2 linked regions of the Mytilus edulis genome follow. The protein of the gene in region 2 purifies or fractionates together with the protein of the main gene of each other region. This does not show direct contact. Links are inferred from orthologs where the notes say so. Each region holds a gene or a part of one and is shown on either strand. Other genes may lie near its edges.

Region 1 (13,918 bases), on a different chromosome or scaffold from region 2:
CGTGCCAAAGTATAATCATCTGTAGATATGAAGTATTGGGATAATGTCGCTGCACAAAGTCCCCATTCCATTGGTTCATATGTATTCCATTCCAACTGTCTTTCTAGTGTAATTTGACAATACTCAGCAGAAAGCTCCTTTTCATCCAGTTTAGCATACACCTGTGCCATGTAATATAGAGTAAGCGTGTATGTTTTTTCAAATTCAAGATTTCGCTTATGCTCAATTTTGTCTTCATCCCATGGTTTTTCTAAATATTCTTGCAGTGACTTAGGTGCAGATCCACATTCTTCTTTGAAATGCAGATACTGTTGTTCAGCATCCTTCAAAAATTTTAATGCTTTATTATAATCCCGCCTGGCCGACCATAGAATACCCAGATTGTTTAGGAGATGTTGGTATACATTAACTACATTATTTTCAAATTTGAATTTTTCTAGGTCATCAATGCATTTCAATATCTTTTCTTCTCCAGTTGCAAGCTCTTCTGTGTCTATATAATTGATTGCTAGCTTTAAATTCAAAACAGCATTTATAGTGTGATAATCTTTGTTTTCCTCATCCCCTTCAAACAAATGTTTCAACTTTTCCTGCAGTTCAAGATATATTTCTCTTGCTTTGTACTTTGACCTGTAAAATTAAAGAGACTTATTTAATATTTTTAAAACCATACAGACAATCAAATCAACTATGTTATAGACCCATTGGTGGCCTTCGGCTGTTGTCTGCTCTATGGTCGGGTTATTGTTGCTTTGACACATTCCCCATTTCCTTTCTCAATTTTACCATAAACTAATAAAAGATATCAGGATTCAAATTTTTTTTGCATTTCACCTACAAAAGACTACCGGTAATCAATGATGCTCAAATAAAACCAGACGCTCCGCAGGGCACAGCTTTATACAAATGCAGTTGGTGCTAGTATGGACACAACATTCAAGCTTAATACAGCTCTGAATTTGGATTGTGATTAAATAGTTGACACAGCATAGGTTTCTGACACAGAATGAATGTGGTCTTATATCCAAAATTTAAATACATGGCCATCAGGATTGATTCAGCATATCAAAGAATCCCAAATATTCAATTTTTGTTAAAATCAAACAAATTTTATTTTGGACCCTTTGGACCTTAATGTAGACCAATTTGAAAATGGGACCCAAAATTAAAAATCTAAATACATGGTTAGATTCGGCATATCAAAGAACCTCAACAATTCATTTTTTTATGAAATCAATCAAAGTTTAATTTTGGACCCTATGGACCTCATGTGGACCAATTTAAAAACGGGGACCAAATTCCAAAAACTCAATACAGGGTCAGATTCAGCATATTTAAGAAAGCCCCAAATTCAGGAATAAAACCCCATTGAAATTGGTCAAGAAATAAGCAATTTATACAAAGTATTAGAAAAGGATTGTTTTTGGCTCCTTTTTGGCCCTTAATTCCAAAACAGTTTGGGCCATAACCCCCAAAAATCAATCCCAACCTTCCTTTTTTGGAGTGGAACCTTGTGGTACAATTTCAGAAAGATTCATACACTTACACACAAGTTATTAAAATTGAGAATGGAAATGGGGAATGTGTCAAAGAAACAACAACCCGACCATAGAACAGACAACAGCAGAAGGTAACCAACAGGTCTGGAAATTAGAAAAATACTTATTTTGACCCCTTCTGGGCCCTTGTTCCTAAACTGTTGGGACCATAACCCCCAAAATCAGTCCCAACCTTCCTTTTGTGGTTTCAAACCTTGTGTTTAAATTTCATAGAGATCTATTCACTTAAACTAAAGTTATTGTCCGGAAACGAAGTGTCTTCGGACGACGCTGACGATGATTATGACAACATTGTGATACCAATATACGACAAAAACAATTTGAATTTTTGCGGTCATATAAAAAATATGAAAAGGCCAAATAAAGTACAATGTTGAAGAACAATGACTACACAAGGTTTTAAAGCTAAGGTAATCTACCACAATCTAGTTGGTCTGTCAGAAACCATCTGAAGTAGAGATATTCAAGCAGTGAAGTCCCTCAAACAAAATGTTAAATTTTTGCACTTTTAATTAAGTTGAATAACAGTTGAATACAAAAAAAATTTGTAAGGGTTCCACGGAACCCAGTGTCTCGCCTACTTATGCTGTTATTTGCAGACTCAACAAAAATGATGAAAAACATCAATAAAAATTTCCCTCTCGATATTGTCTTTTGATTGAAAGAAGCTTCCAAGTTTGGTAAAAAAAACCAGGATAGTTTATGAATCTAATAAATGTTTTATAAACTTTAACTGCAGACTGTATGTAATGTTAACTGGAAGAAAAACTAAGTCCATTTATAAGTAAAATACGGAAAAAGTGATTTTTTTTTTGTTACTTCTGAATAACATCTTATGATTAGAAACAAGCTTTTGTCTAAGTTTGGTAGAAATCCAAGATAGTTTTAGAACATTATAAAAATTTTAAAAACTTAAACCACAGAGTGAATGTTTTGTTTCTGGCAGAAAACTAAGTCCATTTATAAGTAAAATACGGAAAAGTGGAAATTTATTTTTACAAAATTTTCTTCTTGATACTATCTTATGATCATAAAGAAGCTTCTGTCCAAGTTAAGTGCAAATCAAGGATAGTTTATGAAAGACTCAAAGTAATTAAAATTTTAAAAACTTTAACCACAGAGTGAATGTAATGTTTCCTCGCAGAAAAACTAAGTCCATTTATAAGTAAAATACGGAAAAGTGGAAATTTATTTTTACAAAATTTTCTTCTTGATAACGGTACTATCTTATGATCATAAACAAGCTTCTGTCCAAGTTTGGTACAAATCAAGGATAGTTTATGAAAGTTATTAAAATTTTTAAAACTTTAACCACAGAGTGAATGTAATGTTTCCTCGCAGAAAAACTAAGTCCATTTATAAGTAAAATACGGAAAAATGGAATTTTATTTTCACAAAATTTACTTCTGGATACTTTCTTATGATCATAAACAAGCTTCTGTCCAAGTTTGGTAGAAATTCAGTATAGTTTAAGAAAGTTATTAAAATTTCAAAAACTTTAACCACAGAGTGAATATTTGTGGACGCCGCCGCCGACGACGCCGAGGGAATGTAGGATCGCTTAGTCTCGCTTTTTCGAATAAAGTCGAAGGCTCGACAAAAATGTATGTAGTTTCTGTTACAGCTTTTTGATTGTGTACTTCATACATATAAATGTCAGGTTTGCTAATTAGATGACCTTGAACTTATATACTATAGAGTAATATGGGGTTATGAATTTATACCACATGGCAATACTTTGGTTGTGAATTGATTTTTACAATGGATATTAGTTCTTTATTTAAATAACTTTTGGTGTTAACTTTTAATTTAGGCTGTGGCTATTTTGCCCGCATCAGCAAAATAAAATAACAATTTCAAATTTTGCTGGCTCTGATTAAATATCTAAATTCAAGAAGTCAAATTAAAATAGCTTTTTTCTATAGAAATGGTTTATAATTTTGTTTACACATACATGACATATATACATTTCAAAGAACTGACTATTATTTCAAAAGCAAGTTAGTTGAATTCAAACATTTTTGTACATGTCTGTGGTTGACTTTTTTATATTTTTTATTAAATTGTTGATGCACTGAAATTTTTAACATGTATATTTTTTTTTATAAAATAAAGAAAAAAACCTTTTTTTAATTCTTATGCATACATGTAGCATTATATAGAGTGTGTGACTGATTTTCGAAATTATTTCAGCTGCATGTACATGGTTTGATACAATTTCATTGCAACAAATGGGATGCTCTTTATGATTTTTTTTCTTTTAACTTTGACTGATAAATGTTTTTAAACAATTATATGTACATTTTTGTATCTCAAATATTATTAGCTGTTTCTGGGAACAGTATATGTCAGTATATCTGTTTATATGTTCCTGGCTGTTTTCTTATTGAAATACTGGTGTATCAGTAATTATTTAATTCTTTTAAGTTGACAGTGCACATTTTCATAGAACTTTTCAAAAGCAAAATCAAATTTCCTCTTTACAAAGTACAGGCAAATAACACAGTTATTATTTTATTGCTGGTGCCAGTAAAATAGCCATTTCTGCAGCTTGAATTTAGATATTTTAATCAGTGCCTACAAAATAGCCTCTGCCTTTAATTCATGCAAGCACCTGTTCATTACTGAAGAGCAATATTAGTATTATTAAAGTATATAATCTTTTACATTTTGTGAATGTTTAATTTGAAAACAATACAGTTAATGTTATGAATAGGTCCTTGTATAGTCACAAGTGTTTCTCGTGGCACCAAGAACGAGGGTTGATTTGAATATACACGTAACAATGTAATGTATAGTATTAACTGAATAGTATAGTCACTGTGTACATGGTGTAGCTGTATCAGGTCCATTTGCGCCCAATACACTTTCACATCCCACATGTTCGCCCCATAAACTTTCGACCCAATTCTTATTCAAATTCCAGTTGCATTATTAGATTTTTTTTTATACATGTACAAATTTATTCTACCAAAATTAAAATTTAGGAATTATTATGTGAAATATGTGTTTTTTTTCTTTTTTTTATTATTGATTTGATGATTAATTATTCAAGGTTAATTATGTATGATTGCTGATAATTGCTATTCATACACAGCCAAAGGTATTATTATTGTGTGTTTGAAAATCTGGTTGTTGTTTTAGCCTGCTTTGAAGTAAATACTGCATGTATTTAGTTACATTGTGTAAGTAAAATGTAGTATGAATAAAACATATTTTTGAACAGCTTGATCCCTTTGTCATGTTTGTTCCCACTTTATTTATATTAGAAACAATGATTTTTTTTGTGTATAGCAATGCACTATTTAAACCAAAACATAGTTATTTATTCAACACAAAAAAAAACCAAAACATTGTCAGATTTTCACTTACATGACTTTATTTTGAAACAATGAAAAAAAAAATGTCTATAGCAATACACTAACCATGGAAACATGACTTGCGCCAAAGGCACAAAAACTTGATTACAAAATTATATAAAAAAAAGTGCAAACATTTAGGGAGCGAACAGACTTTGGTTGCAAATGTCTAGGGTGCGAAAGTGAAAGGGGGTGAACATGAAAGGGCACGAATGTAGGCGAACTGACCAAATTCTTTTGTGGAAGTCTACTATACCCTATATGAGGATAGTAATGGGGATACCTTCATGACGTATAACGGTAAAAATTCTTGCCAAATGATGTTAACGATAATTTTTAGTGCATGACAATAAAATGTACACTTTCTTTTAGACGATATAACAATCAGCGGAATTTGACAAATCACGCTATTTTTCCCCCCAAAATAATGGTAACGTAATTATTTTTGAGACATTTGACGAATCACGGTAAAAAGTTAAACAATTTGACATTAACCGTAGCCAGTAATGACCGTTTGACGCCTGACGGTAAAGGGCATTAACACTCTCCTATATACACTTACAACTGACTTTAAATTATAAATACATGTAATTGTAGGTCATTGTAGGTCTTCTAAAAAAAATTCAAAAAATGCACTGGCACTTGTTTTATGTGAAACGGAAAAGGAAGACCTCTACCATCAAATGAAACAAGTGCATGTGCATAAATCGAGGCATACATTTATGTCTGGCACATGCATCCATCTCAACCGACACTGTCACTGGCAGAGTCTTCCAGTGACACTCACTGACAGTGTCGGTTGAGATGGATGCATGAAGCTAGGCTATTTACCTGTATGGATCATCTTCTGGATCGTCGTTTAAGTCCTCATCTGACAGCTTCGTTGCACTGTCGATACGTTCAAATCCTTCACTACTCAAGAAATCTTGCCAGGCTTTAGACATGGTGAAAGTGTAGCGAAAGTGATTGTTCCAGAATAAAATATGCTAAATTTTTCAGTTACTGGTTTGGATCTTATTTATTGTTGGTTGAGCCAACGCACTGAGCGAAAATAAATCTGGAACCAGCAGTCATAGTAACAGACCGGTACCGGTTAAAGTGAGAATATTTTCCGAATAGATTATCCGCAAGGAAATAAATAGTTTTACCGACAAGAAAATATATTTTTTGAAGAAGAAAAAAAGGTTCAGAATTATCTCTGTGGTATTTTGTTCTTTTATTTACTTAATGACTTATTTCATTGTGCAATAAAAACTTTTAAATGGTACGTTGTGTTCATTATTTATTTTTTAATTTTAGGTTATCACATTTACCATAAACAATACACTGGTTTAAAATCCTAAACAGAACCAGTAACATTCCACTGAATATTTACATCTACTATCAGAAATGTCAAAAGGGTTAGAATTTCTTCTTCCATGACACCTTTTAATTTCTGTCAATTTCATGAAAGATTCTGTTACAGAGTTCAGCCTTTTGAAAACCACAAAAAATCAACCTTCATATCTCTAACACTGAGTAACAGTAAGAAATTGATCACTTAGGAGATAACTGTATTGTATATTAAGCTCCGGCGGCATCAATTTGGGATTTGATGGTCGCAAATCAAGTTTACTGGCGACGCGTTAGCTGAAAACAGAAAACAACGTTAAAACATGTATTTAAAATCTGTCATATGCCGTCTGCCCTTGCGCGTACGTCCCATAGCATCAATTGACAATTGATGCCATGTAAATAAGTGACGTTATCCAATCAAAATGAACGTTACAAACGATGTTGCATTAGAATAAACATTTAATGAATGGCTATTATTTACTTTGAATTTATTGAACCATAAAACTAATTTTTGACTCTTCACATTGAATAATCCGCAATAGATTATTGCCATTCATTATAAATAAATTTCTATCAAAAATAAGGCTCAAAGAACTTTTTATATTATATATATTAACAACGTCAGAGTGGGCGTGTCGTCTTCAAAATTGACAACATTAATAATAAAACTAAAAATTTTAACCAATCAGAAGACAGTATATACACCAAATTTATTTATTTGAAGAACTCTCAAAACAGGGGTTTCCCAAATTTTGGACACACTTTACTCAAAATGTTAAAAAGGTGAAACCATACATACAGAAGATTTTATGAAATTAAAGTATGTAATGAATTGTTTCACACAATATTATCCAATGCAAGGTTTTATCATTTTGATAAACATGATAAAGTGAAGTTATAAGTCTTAGGTGCACTGATACACCAGACTACACCGTACATGTACCGGTACTTCATTCTACTTATCGCTATTTGTCTGCCATTAATATAAGGCAGGCATATAACCTGTGAATGGGGACGAAGTCTGTATTTTTTTTTTTGAATTCAAACATGTTGATAAAAGAAACGGAAATACCATAATGTTTCCAATATTGGTTCTGTTGTTAGGGATTTAGTTGTGACGTTATTTAAGTTATGACGTCATATTCAATGTAAACAAAGAAACGCTGTTATCCAGGTAATGTTTTTTCATATCAAACAATTATTAAAAATGATTAGGTGTTGAATTCCTTCCTATATTTTTGTTGATATGTTGATAAATATATATTTTATTCAAAGTCTCATGCAAACAAGATCGGAAACGGAAGAAACTGGAAACGGAAGTAGATCTGAAAAAAAAAGTTAACGATTTTGAGTTCATTAGTAGAATGAAAAATTCAGGAAATTTTCCCGATTTTTTTTTTTTTTTAATTGATTTTTCTACCGTAATTGGGGACATTGTCCCATATTAATCATATTACTGGACATCACAACTTGGTCACCTTAAAATTTTGATGTCACAATAGAAATTGTCTGATGCCACTAGGAACATATATATATTGATATTCGATATACTGTTTCACAATACACCTTATCGCTTTTTTGTCCGCCATTACTGGATATCACACGGGTTCCTGTAAAAAGTTGACGTCATAAAACAAAATATCTGACGCCACAATGGAAAAGTGATTGTTGTATGCGTCAAAAGTTCAAGCAGCCGGGTCAGCCAGGATTAGCGATAAGGTGTATTAGGAAAAGAGATTGTTGCACAATGTCAAAATTTTAAGTGTTGCAGAATCCCAAATAACAATAAGGTCCCTAGATTAGTTGTATTTTCTGATAAGGTAACACTAAAATAATGATAGCCAGGTGAGAAATGCAGGCTTTGGAGTTACAAAGCCTCCTGTCTTGGTATACATGGTATAATACAGTAACTGTTTGCCAAGAAAGATGTATAAAAAACAAAGGATAACTTAAAAATAGATATTATATAAACTTATCTAGACTATTTTTAATCAAAGTTCCTACATACTATTATAAACTCTAAATTGTCAAAGCATGATAGACAAGTGGTGAATACATTAAACAGAGGACAAGAAATACAGAAAACCAATACAAAATTTGTAGTGCTAAAAATGCATATATATGATCTATAGTTACAGATATTTTAATGGAAAAAAAAATCTTTGCTTTCAGACTAGAAAAATCTTTATGGGATGTTGCAATACAGGAATCAAATGAAAGTAAAGGTATGATATCAGTATTTATTATACGACCGCAAAACAATTTTTGCGTCGTATAATACTATATCATGTTAGGATTGACTTTGGGAGGTTATGGCTCAAACAAATTAGAAATTAGGGGCAAAAAAAGAGGGAAAACTAGTTTTTCTGGTTAATGGACAATTAAGACAATTTAAAACCAGTGTAAGGGAGGTAATCCAATTACATTTAAAATACAATGTTGTCTATGTTTTGATTAACCTCCCTTACACTACTTGTAAAATATGTAAAAAGAAATGTCAGGTTTTGGACATGTAAAAAAATATATAAATAATTCAAACCATATAACCAATTCTAAGCTCATTGACTACAGTTATTCTGTGTCAGAAACCTATTGTGTGTCAAATATTTAATTACAATCCAAATTCAGACCTGTATCAAGCGTGAGTATTGTCTCCATTTTTGCCCCAACTGTTCAGGGCTGTACCTCTGCGGTTGTATTCAGCTGCGCTCAGCGAAGCAATTTATTCTCTATAATGTAATGTTGAGATTATGGATACAATACAGAAAAGAAAAGATATGTGAACTGGTATCCATCTATGACACAAAATTTAAATCAATGAAAAAAACACATAGCAAAGGAACAGCGCTTTTATTGTTGTTCTTCATCTGATAGTCACATTGAGACCTTCAGCATGGAGCAAAAAAAAATTCACTGCATCACTGCAAGTATTAGACAACCCTTAGCACATACAATGAAGAATATTTACACCTAAATGATTTTAATAAAATTCATTAAAATTTTGCGAGGACATACCCCATTCTCAAAATTCTGACTAGAAGGTCATTGCCACGTGGTTTAATAAAGTTATTCTATGGAGAGTTGATGACCTCAAAATAAAAATAAATCTTCATCTCAATTTAAAAAGTAAATAAAATAGCAATGAATTTTGAAACCTCTGGAAAATTATATGTTGTCATTTTAGCTGAAGGTGCTACTGGAGAAGAATCATCAGTGTTTATTGTAGGAGCAAAAAATTCAGTGAGTATTTTTCTGTTGATATTCTTTTGAGTCTTTTTGAGAAATATTGAATGGAAGGTTTGTAATGTTTTTCACCTCCGGGTGTGAAATGTTCTTGCTGTATTGAAGACCCATTGTTGGCCTTTGGCTGTTTTCCGCTCTTTGGTTGGGTTGTTGTATCTTTGACTCATTCTCCATTTCCATTCTCAATTTTATGATGTACCAGTAAATGTTTTGATAGAGAAGAACTATCATACATTTGAAATTTTCCACCTGTGACATCACTAGTACAGTATACATTAGTGTTGAGTGTTGACTGAATCACAGTGAAACACAAGTGACTTTGAATGATCTGATATACAGAGAGATATATATTTGAGAGTGAATCATATGGTTAATGTTTGTCACTTTTTAGTTTATGTTTGTTTGGAGATATGGTTCAAAAGTAACTTTTGTTTTTGTTTCAAGTTCAAAATTTGTATGTTCTGAATTTGATTTGTTCTTTATACAGGGAAAGACTTCCATAGTTCTTCGTTTCTTAGACAGGTAAATATGTTTTAATCATGTATTTTTCTAAATCACATTATTGATCATTTCCTTTAAGTTATTTAGGTAGCTAGATAATACACCCTATACTAAGTAAAATTATCAGTATCTATTTTGTTGCCCTTTGTGCACTTTTCACATTTTATGAAAAAAGATATAACTGTTTAAGTGAAAAGATAAAATATGCTACCACACAAAATATCCTAACTAAGCAATCATTCCACATCAAAAGGTTTTAGCCAAGATAATTTTAATTTTCAAATCACATAAAATTGAGAATGGAAATGGGGAATGTGTCAAAGAGAAAACAACCCGACCATAGAAGAACAGACAACAGCAGAAGGTCATCAACAGGTCTTCAATGCAGCGAAAAAATTCCCGCACCCGAAGGCGTCCTTCAACTGGCCCCTAAACAATATATATACTACATATAAAAAAGAAGATGTGGTATGATTGCCAATGAGACAACTATCCACAAAAGACCAAAATGACACAGACATTAACAACTATAGGTCACCGTACGGCCTTCAGCAATGAGCAAAGCCCATACCGCATAGTAAGCTATAATAGGCCCCGATAAGACAATGTAAAACAATTCAAACGAGAAAACTAACGGCCTTATTTATGTAAAAAAATGAACGAAAAACAAATATGTAACACATAAACAAACAACAACCACTGAATTACAGGCTCCTGACTAATGGGACAGGCACATACATAAATTATGTGGCAGGGTTAAACATGTTAGCGGGATCCCAACCCTCCCCTAACCTGGATCATGTGGAACAGTGGTATAACACTAGTTCAGTGATAATGAACGCCATACTAAACTCCAAATTGTACACAAGAAACTAAAATTTAAAAAAAATACAAGACTAACAAAGGCCCGAGGCTCCTCACTTGGGACAGGCACAAAAATGCGGAGGGGTTAAACATGTTTATGAGATCTCAACCCTCCCCCTATACCTCTAGCCAATGTAGAAAAGTAAACGCATAACAATACGCACATTAAAATTCAGTTCAAGAGAAGTCCAAGTCTGATGTCAGACGGTGTAACCAAAGAAAATAAACAAAATGACAATAATACATAAATTACAACAGACAACTAGCAATTAACTGACATGCCAGCTCCAGACTTCAATTAAACTGATTGAAAGATTATGTCTTCATCATATGAATATCAGGTACAATCCTTCCCGTTAGGGGTTTAGTATCAAACCATCATAACATATATGAGAAGAACATAACCCGTGTCATGCCAACAACTGGTTTTTAAATGAATGTGTTTAGTTCCGATACAAAGACCCTATAAGTGAATCAATATTAACGCCAAAATATGCAATCTTTAATGACCTGACAACAGTATCGTAACTATATCCCTTCTTAATAAGTCTATTTAAAGGTTTTGTTAGCTTCTGAGGTGAATACTGACATTTTTGTGCTTTATAAAGAATATTTCCATAAAAAATTGGATGTGAAATACCTGAACGTATAAGAAGTCTGCATGTTGAGCTATATTTACGAATGATGGTCTTATATCGATGATAAAATTTAGTATCAAACATTTATGTTACCAAATAATTTCAATATTTTTTTATCATGATCAAAACTGATCAAAATGTTTCTGTTACCATTATAAAATGTTTTTCATTATACAAATTGTTGAATATTCTGTTAAGACACCAATTTTGTCTACTTTGTTGAGTGGTCCTTGAATACCAGTTTTCCTGAATGTATTTAAATGCTTATTTTTTTATGTTACAGAGATGAGGCACCAAAACCAACTGTAGCTCTAGAATACACATTTGGACGCAGAGCAAAGGGGCATAATATTGTAAGTGTGACAATGTCTCTTCCATATTTCTTCTTTTAAATAGAATGACTTCTCTTATATTTTCTGCTAGTGTTAAAAATATCTATGAAGTCTTTTTTCGTTAGTCTGTATGAAGTTGAGCTATAAACTAAGATTAAGAACAATACAAGCAACAAATCTGTGGTAAAAGGTCCATTGTTTATCCCAATCAAAGTAAAGGCAGTAAATGTTATTCTATTCCAATGCAAGTTTGACTTTATATCCTTTTACTTCTTACATTTTCATTGTATATTTAAATCAGATATAAAATGATCTGATTTTTAAAGTTACAAGTGTTTCCAAACATTGAAATGTCAATTTTAACCACTCACAATTCCTATATTATTCACAGGAAAATTAACATTACATAGGACATTGCATAATTTTTTTATATACTTTTTTCAATTATTTTTTTAAGGCAAAAGATGTTGGACATATATGGGAGCTTGGAGGAGGAACATGGTTGTCTAAACTAATGGATGTTCCACTTAATCCATCATCACTAAGGTATATATAGGTTTATTATAACTTTGTAGCTGAATTTAAATAAGAATTAATTATATGCAAACCTGCAATAAAATTCACTTCTATCAAGAAAAAACCTCTTTTAGATCCATTGAAGTGATACCTTTATATGCATTTAGAACCCCAATACACCTTATTACTATTTGTCAGCCATTACTGGACATCACAATTTATGATAAAGGTTCGGGTGGAAGTGCTGCCTTGTAGCAGCATTAGCCTGCTCTTTTTTCGAAATCTACAAGGGTGTCTTTAATGTGAAAGAGATTTGACTGTCTCTTAACACGGGTCAGCCATTTATCGTCCCCTTCTGACAGACTATTATTGTTTCCTCAAGACCATACTCGCAAATGGTGTCAAGGGAGAGACGAAAATTCAGTCCCTGAAATTTTCATCCTGGAACAGGAATCAAACCAGGAACCTTTGTGTTAGTAGTTCGATGCACTAACCATTACACCATGCTCCTGATTATTAGTCATGTTAATAAAACTTATTCATTTACATGAAAACAGACATTTTTATATTTTCCATAATATGCATTAACAAGAATGTGTTCATAGTACACGGATGCCCCATCCGCACTATCATTTTCTGTGTTCAATGGATCGTGAATATGGAGGAAATCTCTGATTTGGCATTAAAATTAGAAAGATCATATCAAAAGGAACATGTGTACTAAGTTTCAAGTTGATTGGACTTCAACTCCATCAAAAACTACTTGACCAAAAACTTTAACCTGAATTGGGACGAACGGACGAACAGACCCACAGACCAGAAAACATAATGCCCATAAATGGGGCATAAAAACAGCTACAACGCTTATTTTAAAGAAAATTTATATATTACATAATTTAACAAATCCAGAGATATAAACATTAAACCAATTATTCATACATAAAAAAATACTCAGCAAGAGTATAAATCAATAGAAAATAGACGAAAACATATTGATTTTGTTGAGAAATTGTTAAATAACAAACTGCATGTATTTTGAATTATAAAAAGCTCTTTACTTTTCTTTACAGTCACACAGCAGTAGCTATTGTAATTGATCTGTCCAAACCTAAAGAGATATGGTACAACCTAGAAACACTCCTGAACTCTGCAAAGTCTAGACTAAATACAGTTATAGAGGAAATGAAATCTGAGGATCCCAGTATCAAAGATAGATTGACAAAACAAGCGTGGGAAAGAGTAGGGGCAGACCACCCAGTAAGTATACACACTTTGAAAAGGTGGTCATGCAATCAAAAGACTACAAGGTATAAACTAAGTTTTCGGAAAGAGTTGGTACAGAGAGTAAATTAATAAGTCTGAGCAAGAGTTTGAGCAAACCATTTAGATACCAAATAGTTTAATTTTGAACCTTCTGGAACATTTTAATGTCCCCGCCGTCTCAAATATATCGATGTACGTCCCAAAATTAGTTTCTGTTTTCTAATTTAATTTGCCTCAACCAAATTTTATGAAATTATACACAATGCTTATTACCTCAAAATACAAATCAAGTTCAAATTCGGGTGGCG
Region 2 (13,036 bases):
ACTCATTTTATGATAAATACATGTTTTGACTTCTTTAAGTCAAAAACAAAAATAGACTTGTTTATGTCTGAGCTCTGACTCCATATGATATGATCTTTATAATTTTAATGCCAAATTAGATTTTTTACCCAATTTCATAGTCCATTGAACATATAAAGACTAGTTTTAATACTTTGAATGTTAAATCTTATCTACAACCGTTTGTTTGGAAATCATGATGGGACTGGCTGTTATTATAATTTCTGACTATTAATGGGTGTCAGAACATAATGTTAATTCTCCATAATGTTCAGACTAAATATTTTATTTTCACTTTTTTTAAATTAATAATTTATGTAAATTATAAATTACAACATGAGAATTTTTATCAATAAATTCTTATCATGTTAATTACATGTCAAAGGCATGGATAATTTAAAATGATTTTTATCAATCAACCTCATAAAAAGAGAACATGTTTAGCCAAAAAAGTTGCATGTATATCTGGATGGGCGCACTACGTTTGCACGCATTTGGGGATTAAAATGTTTTACATTTGCGTGCAGCTTTTGATTACATTTGTGCGCATTCATGTTACAGGTAATCTCAGGTAAAAATATAAATAAAAATTATATTAAAATATAAATGACCATATTTTTTTTGTATTTTCATAATGGATATATGACTATCAATTATTAATTTTAAAAATAGTTTGTTAGTTCAAGTTATGTATTATTCATATTGAATTCTAAAACCAGGTATAAACTCCGCTATAGCTTTAGGTCAAGTTACAATAAATGGGCCACAGATTTTCTTAAAAAATTGCATGCACCTTTTTGACTTGTTGAATTGAATCTGAAAATCGAAAAAAAATATGCGGCTTTATCTCTTTTTTTCCCTGCCTTATGAGACTTAGACTAACAGAAGGGGTATACTGATACTTGTAAATAATTGAACAAAGTAATAAAATAACATGATTAATTATTACCTGTATTTTTCCTTAAAAATTACTGATTGAATTCTTTCAAAATAGGTGCCGTAGGAGACTTAGACTAACGGAAGGGGTACTGATACTTGGAAATATTTGATCAAAGTAATAAATAAATAAGTATTATTACGTGTATTTTACCTGAGTTTATCTGTCAAAAAAATGAACGCAAATGTAATCAAAAGCTGCGCACAAACGTAATGAGTTTTGCGCGCAATTGTAATGGTAATGCGCACAAACGTAAGCACCGATCTGAACTAGGAGCTAAATCTGTCCAAGCTTATTTTCTGTAACTGCATTATGTAATATTGTGCATTTCACATTCTTTACTTCAAATAAATTTTAGCTACACATGGGACCAATAACATTTGTTTATCAATATGATTGATGACTATCTATTTAAAAATCTAGGTGATTCCCAGGTCTAATGAAATTTTGTACCTACTGTTTAAATATTTACATCAATAAACCAATTATCTATGTTATCTTCTTTTAATTTTATTTTATAAATTGAAAAGTTACTCATTATGAAGTAAAGGTACAGTCTTTTATGTTGGTGCAAATATTTTGTCTGTTAAATTTTACTACAGTTTTATTCATTGATCAAAGTATGTATAACTGTACGTGCTGGGTTTACATCTTCAAGAAGAATAATCAACTTCTAACTGAAGAAATTTATGACTTGACTAAAATTTTAATAAAAATTCTTTCACTTTGTTTACAAATTGATAATGGATCCTACAACAATACACTTCATACTTTATTGACAAAACTATCAAAGTAAATCAGTAAAGACCATAATACTTAAATGTCTGTGTAGATTTAACATGCTTAACTAAAATCACTTCAAACTTTAAAGTCCTATATTATTATTACGAAAGGGAAAACAATAACAGCTGAGTACTGTTCATTTAAAAATCAAACAATAGATTTTACAATACACAACTCAAGTAAAGACCTAGTCAACACTAGAATGGAATTTTCATTTAAACTTCAAATGAAGTAGATTCAAATTGATAGATTTTACTTTGTTGAGGACAACAGATTATAATTTTAGGGCGGCAATGGTAATGGAATTCTCTCAAATATTATCACAAAGATAATGTACTGAAAATTACTGTGTCACTTACAAAAGAACTAATTATTAAGTTTTAGTATTTGAGGAGTTGTTTATTGAAAAGGACAAGAAACTCTCAATCATATACTTTAAATTACGTTTTCATTCTACATGACATGTTTTACAGAGCTATTTTCTAGGTTGTTGAACGGTTAACAGTCTGTTTAATAATATAAACATCTCTCTCTTTTTTAGGCTGTACAGTGACCTAAAGATCATTTAGTTTCTGGTGGAAAGTTGTCTCATTGTCAATCAAACCACATTATATATATATACAAAATATTTGAAAGTTCTAGAAGATAAGCACTTTGTACATGTACAGTGCTTCAAGATATTTTTTTACAAGTACCTGTACTTGAAACCCTTATAACACATGTACAATGTATAAACATAATAAATATGGCATATTTATTTGAAACACATTGTTAAGATGTGTAAGAAAAGTACAAGTACAGTCAATCTTAAATGACCAATGCTAAAAAAACTATCAAATTCTGTAATTCCGATATTTTCTTGGTTGTTATAATATTACATGTACATGATTTCGAACAATAGAACTATTTTGTAGGGGTAACATTCTCCAATCAATGGTGAGTTCACATTTCACATCAATATTGTTTCTTTTTATTTTTTTGTGGAGATAACATGATCAAGAATAAGCAAAATTAACCCAGTGAAAAAGATTTCATATTACAGTTAACCATGTGCAAAACACCAACATACATTGTTGTACATTAATTACCATGATGACTAAGAGTATAACAGTACTAGTACAGATATAAACATACCATCTCTGAATCTCTGGTCACTTCATGGTCTACTCGTGAAAATAATTCTTCACAAAACCTGGGAATGATTCCTATTTCATTTCTATCTTCGTTTACTTGTCCCATGATACTGTAATTAAAACAAGAACATGTAAAAAGACATTTAAGACATATATATAATGAAAGCAGGTATGAGTTTAAATTGTTTAATATGAAACTCTGAATATAAATGTAGTTTGATAATTACATACATGTCTATTTGGCTTTATATTCAGCATTTTTCAAGGTTTATATCCTCACTTAGAGATTTTTTAGCTTTTTTTATACAGTCATGACAGTGCAAACATGTTGCATCATTTGAAAATTACTTTAACTCTTGGTTTCACAATTAATGCTAGTACAATGACTGTAGTAATGATATTGTGTTTATCATTCTGAAATCTCTGTTCATTAGGTTTTAAATGGACAGGTCACAAAAATATCCTGTCTGCTTGTTTTGAATTCAACACTACAATGTACATGTAGCTATAGCATCAGTCTTCACGATGAACTGTTAAATCTAGAGGCCCGGAGCTCAATTTTTGAAAAATTTTAGTTACGATTCTATTGGCCTGTAGATATGATTTTAACAGGCCCGAGAGAAATTTTACAAGCCTGGGATGCCTGGGCTGCCATTCAGCGTGAAGACTGTAGCATGACCAGCAAAAGAGACATATATACAACATGTATACATGTACTGTAGATCTATGCCACCAAGAGAGTTTACCTATATTTCACCTTTATATTGTTTACTGGTACAAATGACAATAATTAATATTATAGTGTTATTTACTGGCTGTTTCTGTATTGGCACTGGTATAGATTCAAGGTTTGCTGTATTGGCCTCGAGACCCGTAGGGTCGAGGGCCAATACAGCTGACCGAGAATCTATACCAGTGCCAATACAGAAACAGCCAGTTCATAACACTTTTATTAAATGATTATAAGAGAATTAAAAACCGGAAGTGAACGTCCCGTATTAGCCCATGGGCCAATACAGCTTTTTTCCCGCTTTTTTCCGTATTGGCCCTCGTTTTTTCCGTTTCAAAAGTTTAAGACATTACAAAACATTGCACATCATTTAACCTGTTTATTTTATGACTTTAATTTAAAAAATATTATACAAATGTTTTTATGCATAACGATACTTCCAGAGTTAAGTAATGGCGTAATAAAATTGAAAACCGGAAGTGAACGTCCTGTATTAGCCCTAGGGCTGATACGGCTTTTTTCCCGCTTTTTTCTGTATTGGCCCTGTTTTTTTCCGTATTGGCCCTGTTCGAAGAGCAATATTAAATCTTGATTTATATCGACAGTGAAACGTTTTTAGTATTGCACATGCTGATTTATCTGTATTAGGGCTTATTTGCTCATATCATTTAATAAAGATCTATAATATAGATATTTTAGTACATGTACATGTAGTCCTGTACAAATGTAATCAGCCAAAAAAATGTGTTTTCTATTACAAATGTACATCTTTCAAAAAAATAGGGTAGGTACATCATATATTGTACATAGCGATTTTATTTTATTTTACCTCCTTTTTTTTCCCGTTGAGTCTATGGGAGGAACATTTTGACTCTAACAGTGCTTAATCAAAAATGACCAAAAAAACTTTAGGGTGGGCTATATTTTAAAAATATGGTGCATACGTATATCCTTAGTGTAAACATGGTAAAAATACGCAAAAAAAACAACTGTTTTATTACATATCATATGTACCTGTAACTTTTTCCACTTCCAGTTTGACCATATGCAAATAAGCATGTGTTATAGCCTTCAAAAGCTTTGACCAGTAAAGGCTGGGCCAATAACTTGTATATTCTTTCTTGGTCAGAAAAATTGCCATTTTGTTTATCATATGACCAGAATGAAAAATCATATGTAAATGTCTGTTTAGAACCGTTATCCTTAGTAACTGTTGTTTCTTTATCACACATAGATACCACACAGCGGATGTTGCCTATCTTTTCTTCTCTGAAAAAATATTTTATCAGATATAATGTACATGTAAACATGGTAAAACAAATTTGTACAATTCAATATGCATAAATATTATTGTACAAAATATAAATTCACACAATTTAATATAAACATGATAAACTATACTTTGAAGTTTATTCTGGAAACAAATAAATGAACATGTGCCGCAACACAATGCAAGAATTGGAAAACAAGTGACAAGTCACTTAAAATACAATTTCTGAATGTCATTACATGTACAATTGAAATCATTATCATGATTTTCATGGATGTACAATAAAAAAAAACCAGAGATACACCAATTTTTTTTAGCTTGTAGCACCTGTTTACAAGACTTGCAAAGTTGTCATTTCAGAACTTTATGTAAATGTATTTTAAAGTTAAAATACATTGTGTACTGTACATGAAAAATTTATTAAAATAGGTCAATGACCCTATTGAGAGACTCAGAGCAATACTTAGATACATGTATAAAACATTTTTTTAAGTAAAAAAGGAAATGTGTTCTTAATCTCTTATCAAATTCCCCAAACAAAAAACTCAAAACTGACAATAATGACAAGACTACTGCACCTTGCATTGAGAGGTCGAACTCGTACTGCTACTGTTAAACTACTACTATCTTCCCTTGGTTGATCATCATCATCGCTGTGGAATTCAAATCGTGATAAATCCTCAAGCTGTACTGCATTATAACATTCTGGAGTAGCAATCAGCTTGTCACCTTCTGTGTATCTCCTTTTAGGGGTCTTGCAAGTGTTTGGCGAGATAAAATCAAACCTGTCCATTTCAGGGGGTCCTCTTGGTTCCTTAACTGGAGTAAGAAAGTTTTCTTTATTACATTCTTTGTTATTAGTCCAATTTGAAATAGAATCATGTTCTGCATTATCAGTTGACTGGTCACAAACACTTGAATTTGTGAATGTTGTGTCACCTGATAAAGTACTTGTATTACTTTCATATGCAGAGAGAGAATCATCGGAAGAATTTGTTTTGTCAAACGACAATTTTATACATTCAGATCCTGGTTTAATTCGTCCTCTACTGTGTGTACCACCTATTGATATTTCAACAGTTTCTGGATTAAACTTTGCATGGGTTTTTAAACTTTCTGTCCCATTTTGTATACACACGTTTGGAACTTCAGGCAATTTTCGTTTATTCCTCGCCGACAAAGATAGTCCCGGTATTTTCGTTGCAGAGGATGACATTTTCACCACAATAGACATACAAAAACGCAATTACGAACAAAATCCCCTATGTTAGATTGTCATGGAAAGGAGATTGATAAACAGAACAAACCATACAATTTTTTTGGGACGAAAATATATCACTATAAAAGTTGCACGATCGCAGAGAATTTAGTGTGGAAATAAAAACATCAAAACTGTCACTTATTCCAAGACTTTTAAGATTTAAAAGGTTGTTTTCGCTTCATTTACTTCCATTCATTCAAATCGTAGTGTTTACAAAATTTGAAATGGCCTCCACAAGTTCCTTGGGACTTCGTAACGAAGGAAATGATTGGTTAAAAGTTAAGGCGATTAAAATAGCTAGATCGATTTCTGGAGGCAAACCAGATGAAAATCCGTCAGAGAAATTTAAAAGTTACTTCTCTAACAAAATTTAACAAAAAATAAAATCCATAATTAAATGTGAAAATAATTTAAGGACAGCAATTTAAAAATCAATACAGCTAACTTAAATAACTTTATAGAATATCGAATTTAATTAGCATACAGTAGTTTTCGATTTTCAATTATGAGATACATTTCAGTGTAAGGGGAACAAACTTTATTTTAATAATGTGTAAAAACTTCTATAAGATTTGTAATATAATATATTTTGAATATCAATGCTTTATTGACCAAAGTTGAAACAGTCAGTAATTTGCACCAGAATGTTTATAAACGATGTCTTATTATCTAAGCATGCAGCTACTGAATTTTCCCCTAACAAAATATTGCATTGCAATGTACTTTGTTAGATGTAATACCCATCTATGGTTATATCAAAGACATATAATACATTTTATGTCTTTGGTTATATCATAGATGTTATGTATTACATCTATGGTTATATTTAAAGAAATTTATGAATTATTATTGTTATTTTTTACAAGTCATTTTCTTTGAAAATACTGATCGGATTCTATAATAAGAATAAGTACGAAAAATACCCAGCGGCTACACTCCATTATGACTTTAATTAAAACTTTTTTTTTACAATTTTATCGTTAAAAAGTTTTCTTACCCTTTCTCCACTGTAATGGTGTACCACCTGACGATGCACATAAAGTTTTCCTTTTATTGTTCCTCATTTTCTTATCATAAATAAATTCTCCTTCAAGCAAAATTTACTGTCTCCTAGTCATAATAAATATTTTCATTTGATTTATCCGCGAAATATAAAATCTATATATAAATTTAAGAGTGGAGTAAACATTGACCCTTTGCCACTTATGTCCAAACACCGGTGTCATAAGGTCCCTCCCATTTAATTGGTTTAGGCGACACGGGAAGGGTGCTGTTTATCTAATAATTTTACAATTTTACTGTCATTATGGCACGTGTGACAATTACCTGTGATTATCACCCGAATGACGTAACATTGATGATCCTAATCGACAGGACAATCAAATTAACTTTTAAGTATTATCCTTTAATTGTTATAGGTGTCTGTTATCAAGCAATGTTTATTTTTTTATGTCAATCAGCAGATGGTTAGAACTGAAACATATAAATTGTAAAAACAACTTCGTCTGACTTTACTCTCTCATCTTTTCTACATACATCTTTGTTTTTGTTTATATTTATCATTATGGATGTTTGTCATTTTTTTTTTGTCATTTTTTATGTAAGTGCATATTTATTTTGTTCTAATTTTTTTTTTATATATGTTTTTTTTTTTATTTTATTTTTCAAATAGTGGTGTTTCCTAGTTTACTTTTTAAACATAAAAATAAGACCGTTTATACAAAATGTTAAGTAATTTAGAAAGAAAGAGGGGAATCAGACTATAGAGTTTAGGCATATTAATCATTAAGAAGATTTACTTCAATTCACAATTTTCACAATTTTCCATCTGATGTGTTTGACTAGAAAAAATACTTTTACAATTAACCTTTCGATGTGTTAAGAGACTGACGTTAATACAAAAATATGAAAAAATATGAATACACCAATAGAAAACACCAAACTACAATACCTACTACAAACTACAAGCCCAATGACCAAACGTCAAACTTTCTGCTGTTGTCCATTCTCAATTTTATTAAGATAGAACAAAATAGTCCTAAATGCATAAAATAAAGTACATAGGTACTAAGGAACTTGGGGATGTTGTGCTTCTTTCATGGTAAAAACAATTAAAAAATACATTTCACTATATATCTTTTTTTTATTGAAAACTGTTAAATGTCATCCTGTAGATTTTTGACAATGTTAGTATAGTATTGAGAGTGTCCCGGTGTATAGAAAATAAACTCATCATAGATACCAGGACTAAATTTTGTATATACGCCAGACGCACATTTCGTCTACAAAAGACTCACCAGTGACGCTCGAATCCAAAAAAGTTAAAAAGGCCAAATAAAGTATGAAGTTGAAGAGCATTGAGGACCAAAATTCCTAAAAGGTTTGCCAAATCCAGCTAAGGTAATCTATGCCTTAGGTAGAAAAACCTTAGTATTTCAAAAATTCTAAATTTTGTAAACAGTTAATTTATAAATATAATCATATAAATGATAATTCATGTCCGCACAAAAAGTGCTGACTACTGGGCTGGTGATACCCTCGGGGAAATAAATCTCCATTAGCATGCAGTGGCATCGACCCAGTGCATGGTTGTAAATAAACTCATCATATATACCAGGACTAAATTTTGTATATCCGCCAGACGCGCGTTTCGACTACAAAAGACTCATCAGTAACGCTCGAATCCAAAAAAGTTTAAAAGACCAAATATAGTACGAAGTTGAATATACTCCAATTTTCCCGTCTGGAGGTTACGATCCAAAGCAAGGATCGACTGTTGCACTGTGCGGGATGTATTGATGCACAGTAATGTGTAAGAAACAGTAACGTTTCTTTTTTTTATATATATAAATAAGGCCGTTAGTTTTCTCGTTTGAATTGTTTTAACGTCACGCACGCTGTTCCTACAACCCGTAGGATCTTCGAAATTTCCTCCGCAAAACAAAATAAAATGTTAACAAACACTAACCACTATAAAAACTAAATCAATATATGTTTTCCTTTATGTTCTTATAGCTCTTGGTCATATGCTTAGTAATATCTAGTATATTTGAGGATTAAAACAACAAAGCTATGTGAAAAAAACGGATGTCGAACGTTACATTTTAAACAACTGTTTTATCTCTTATGTATAGTTATCCTATTTCTTATTCTCTGATCTTCCCGAAATTTGGCAGAAGCAACGAAGTGTGTCAGTTCTCGGTTAAATTAAAGTCGTTCTTTTGTCGAATTTCGTTTGACTCGGTTGTTGCATATTAAGCTGGAATAATGACGTTTTTCTTTGACTTAACGACTGAAAGGTAGTTTTATAAGTAGACATAGCTAAAGATGTCTAAAAAATGTGAGATAATTATAACATCTACCGAAAGAACAAACATTTGCCTCATTGTTCGTGAGTTCAAAAATTGTAGATTCTATAAAACCATCTCTACACAGTCGTTTTTCAAGCGGTAGCCATTTTGTCCAAGTTGATATTTCATTTGTCCAAGCAATATTTCAATATTAAAGTAATTTATAATTTACCAAAACAAAAGTTAGATAAACAAAAATTACATAAAGTCTAGATTCTTTTTTTATTAACTGCATGTTTGGGTCTTACAGGAATAAAATGCTACGAAACATTACAAAACGGTAGCCATTTTGTCCAAACGTCGAAAAATCCAAACAAACGCTTTTTTTTTCGACGTTACATGTGCAAAATTTGTTCCATCGTATATTCCTGATACATAAAATGAATCGCGTTGTGAAATTTGAAAAAAAAATTGCTGGTTGTAGAAAAAAAACCACGGTGCATGTTGTGCATGAAACGGAGGTAACTGAAAGACTTATCGGAAACAGCGACAAAAACAGTATTATTGAATTAATGCAACCCCGTATTATACGGACGATTCAGGAGATGATTAGTACATTTTAAAAACAAGCAACTAGTTACTTCAAATGACTGGGAAAATAATTTTCAAGATCGGGTTTTAGTAATTTTATTTAACTGGTTGTATTTCGACAAGGTATGTGTCACGGCAAATTTTTAATACAATTCCATTCAAATTAATCAAGGGTAAATATGTTTTTATTTACTTGCAGAGTGTCGGATATATTTGTATTATAGGGTTGAATCAAGATATGAAAAATTTACAATGACAGATGATATGTACCATGAAACTTTAGCAGTTTTGTTATAATTCAATTATTGAAAACCGTATACTGCTGTCCCATTTTCTTTCCTTCAAGTTCATTACTTACGACAATACAACATTTTAAGGTGGTTTAAGGGTAAACATTATTTATTCGATTTCCACAACTTGAGGTAAATAAATTCATGGAAATTTGACATCACAAAATTAATAGAGACATATTTAGAATCAACCAACTACATAAAAAAAGCAAATGAAACTTACAAATTGAATAAATGTACGTCAAAAGTTTCAGAAAACTCGCTTTGACGTCTGGTGGTTTAACGTGGTGTTGTAGGAACATCGTGCGCAACGTTTTTTACATTGTCATTTCGGGGCATTTTATAGCTAACTATTCGGTTTAGTTTTAGTTTTAGTTTAAACATATTTTATTTGCTGAATTAAAGCAAAATGGATTAGACACAAGTAAATCATACTTATGAAGTCTTCTCCATAATACAGTATAAAGTTACAATAATAGTATAATATAATGGACATGCATATAAAACAAACAGTTTATACAATATTATACAAGCTTTCATAGGTGAACAAAGAGGAGTGAAAGTAAAAGAGAAAAAGAAAGTTTGAAAAGTCGCATAATTCTGTGACGATGACTTGTGAATTGATGACAACGATGACGTTCTGTGTCAGTAATAATAACGCTCTATCAAGGCATAAGAAAACTGTTTGACCTTTTTATAAAATTTTGAACATGTTTGAAAAGGAGTAGATCCGGTAAGGGCCGATTTTGGCCTTAAATTTCAGGTTCATCGAACGAAAGATTTTAGACACTTTTTAAACACTTAAGTGTCTATTTAAATTGATTCGATTAGTTAATGTAAAAGATTTCAACTGATTTAGTCATTAAAACGCTCCGATTCAAGCTTAAATATATAAAATCTATTAAATATGCCAAACAACGTCACTGTTCAGATGGTTTTTGTCAAAAATGAAAGTGGCCGCATCCGTGTTCATCCTCAAACTTTATATATGTTATAATACAACTTACATTTTAATATTATGAATGAACACGAATGCGGCCACTTGCATTTTAGACGGAAACCGTCTAAAATTTAACTAAAATGCTCAAATTGTGAAGATTTCAGTAATTTAGCATGACTTAAAGGGAAAATTCGCGATTTTTTACTTATGGTTTAAATATGTTCATTATGACATAATATATATATTCACAAAGTTTTATCGCTATATGTGCAGTAATAAAGGAGAAATTCAATAATTAATGAAAAAATATTGACTACTTCCTGTAGGTCGTGACGTTTTTTCCCTTTAATGATGCTAGTACCTGATATATGTGCATTGTATTGTCAAAAACAGCCCATATTTGTGTAGCAGAAGCATTCTACTTTCCAGTAAATGGTTTAAAGATAACAATTTTCATACTTTTGTAAAACTGCTATATTTTGGGGCCAAAAAGGGGTCCTACTGAACCTACTCTTTTGAATATTTTGTTCGTTCGAAAGTTCCAAGTGTCCGCAAATTAATAGTTTTGTATCTAAAACAAAGTTTTCAGATAGCCAGTTAAGGTTATGGAATATGGATATGACAGTTGTTTTCCATCAGTTCCGATGGTTAGAATTATAACAGAAATGACAATTGTTTTCCATCAGTTCCGATGGTTACAATTATAACGTTTGATTTTGTCAGATTTTATGGAGTTTCACTTTTTTATATATATATATACACAAGTCTAAATTGAAAACTACGTTCAAACCTATGATTGCGTTTGATAAAAACCGCAATTTTTCATACGTGTGCATGTAAAACAAATTTCGTTGTAGAAGGGTCTAAATACAACACAAACAACATTTTCCAAAAGACCAAATAAGTGAAAAAGTATATTTAAACAAAACGCATTTGACTAACGGGTCGAACAACTGATGTTCTTAAACCCTGCTGACTGCCATTGGCGATTGCCAAATAAATTTATCACAAGATGTAGCAAAATGGATCTTAATATAAATGTAATACTAAACAGAAAACAATGAACTTGCGGCAGAGATGTTATGCCACAAACATGAGGTGTCAACATTTTTTTATACACCAGATCCGGATTTCGACAATAAATGTCTCTTCAGTGATGTTAGGGATCGAAAACGTAATTTGGAAGGCCATATAATTTACCTCAATTTAGGATAGACTGTTGAATTTAGAGAGTCAAAATAGGATGCACGGATCATATAAACCGGAGGGAAAATATGATACAAGCCCAAACGAAAAAATATAAACAAGTCTAAATTTAAAACTATGTTCAAATCTATGATTGCGTTGGATAAAAACCGCAACTTTTATACGTGTGCATGTAAAACAAATTTCGTTGTAGAAGGTATATATAAATATATTATTGCTAATACTTTTCTGTATCTACTCTAACAATTCCTCATTTTACAGCAGTAGTCAATTTCTCTGTAATTTGTTCTCATTCGTCTTGAATATGCATAAAATATTTGACTCTTGACGTTAAACTAACTTACAACAATCAATCAATGATGGTTATTCTTTAAAGTTCTAGTCCGTAGTCATGTGAAAAAGAAGATGTGGTATGATTGCCAATGAGACAACTATCCACAAAAGACAAAATGACACATACATTGACAACTATAGGTCACCGCATAGTCAGCTATAAAAGGCCCCGATAAGACAATGTAAAACAATTCAAACGAGAAAACTAACGCCCTTATTTATGTAAAAAATATGAACGAAAAACAAATATGTAA

The links.
Region 1: the proteins of kinesin-like protein KIF14 (region 2) and KIF-binding protein-like purify together in Homo sapiens (affinity purification with mass spectrometry; 3 studies listed by BioGRID and IntAct, counting the BioPlex papers as one, with this or other methods). This does not show direct contact. The link is inferred for Mytilus edulis from reciprocal best matches to the Homo sapiens genes KIF14 and KIFBP.

The regions. Positions count from the first base shown.
Region 1 is NC_092346.1:36,838,270-36,852,187, reverse strand, and holds the start of KIF-binding protein-like, read right to left. Parts: upstream 5,986-13,918; 5' UTR 5,863-5,985; coding exon 5,750-5,862; intron 631-5,749; coding exon 1-630. Other genes in the region: cytoplasmic dynein 2 light intermediate chain 1-like, read left to right, coding at 6,308-6,318, 8,426-8,478, 9,438-9,493, 9,984-10,018, 11,783-11,852, 12,289-12,377, 13,418-13,604. UniProt on the Homo sapiens protein: Activator of KIF1B plus-end-directed microtubule motor activity. Required for organization of axonal microtubules, and axonal outgrowth and maintenance during peripheral and central nervous system development.
Region 2 is NC_092345.1:3,948,266-3,961,301, reverse strand, and holds the start of kinesin-like protein KIF14, read right to left. Parts: upstream 6,399-13,036; 5' UTR 6,106-6,398; coding exon 5,450-6,105; intron 4,871-5,449; coding exon 4,616-4,870; intron 2,982-4,615; coding exon 2,873-2,981; intron 1-2,872. UniProt on the Homo sapiens protein: Microtubule motor protein that binds to microtubules with high affinity through each tubulin heterodimer and has an ATPase activity. Plays a role in many processes like cell division, cytokinesis and also in cell proliferation and apoptosis.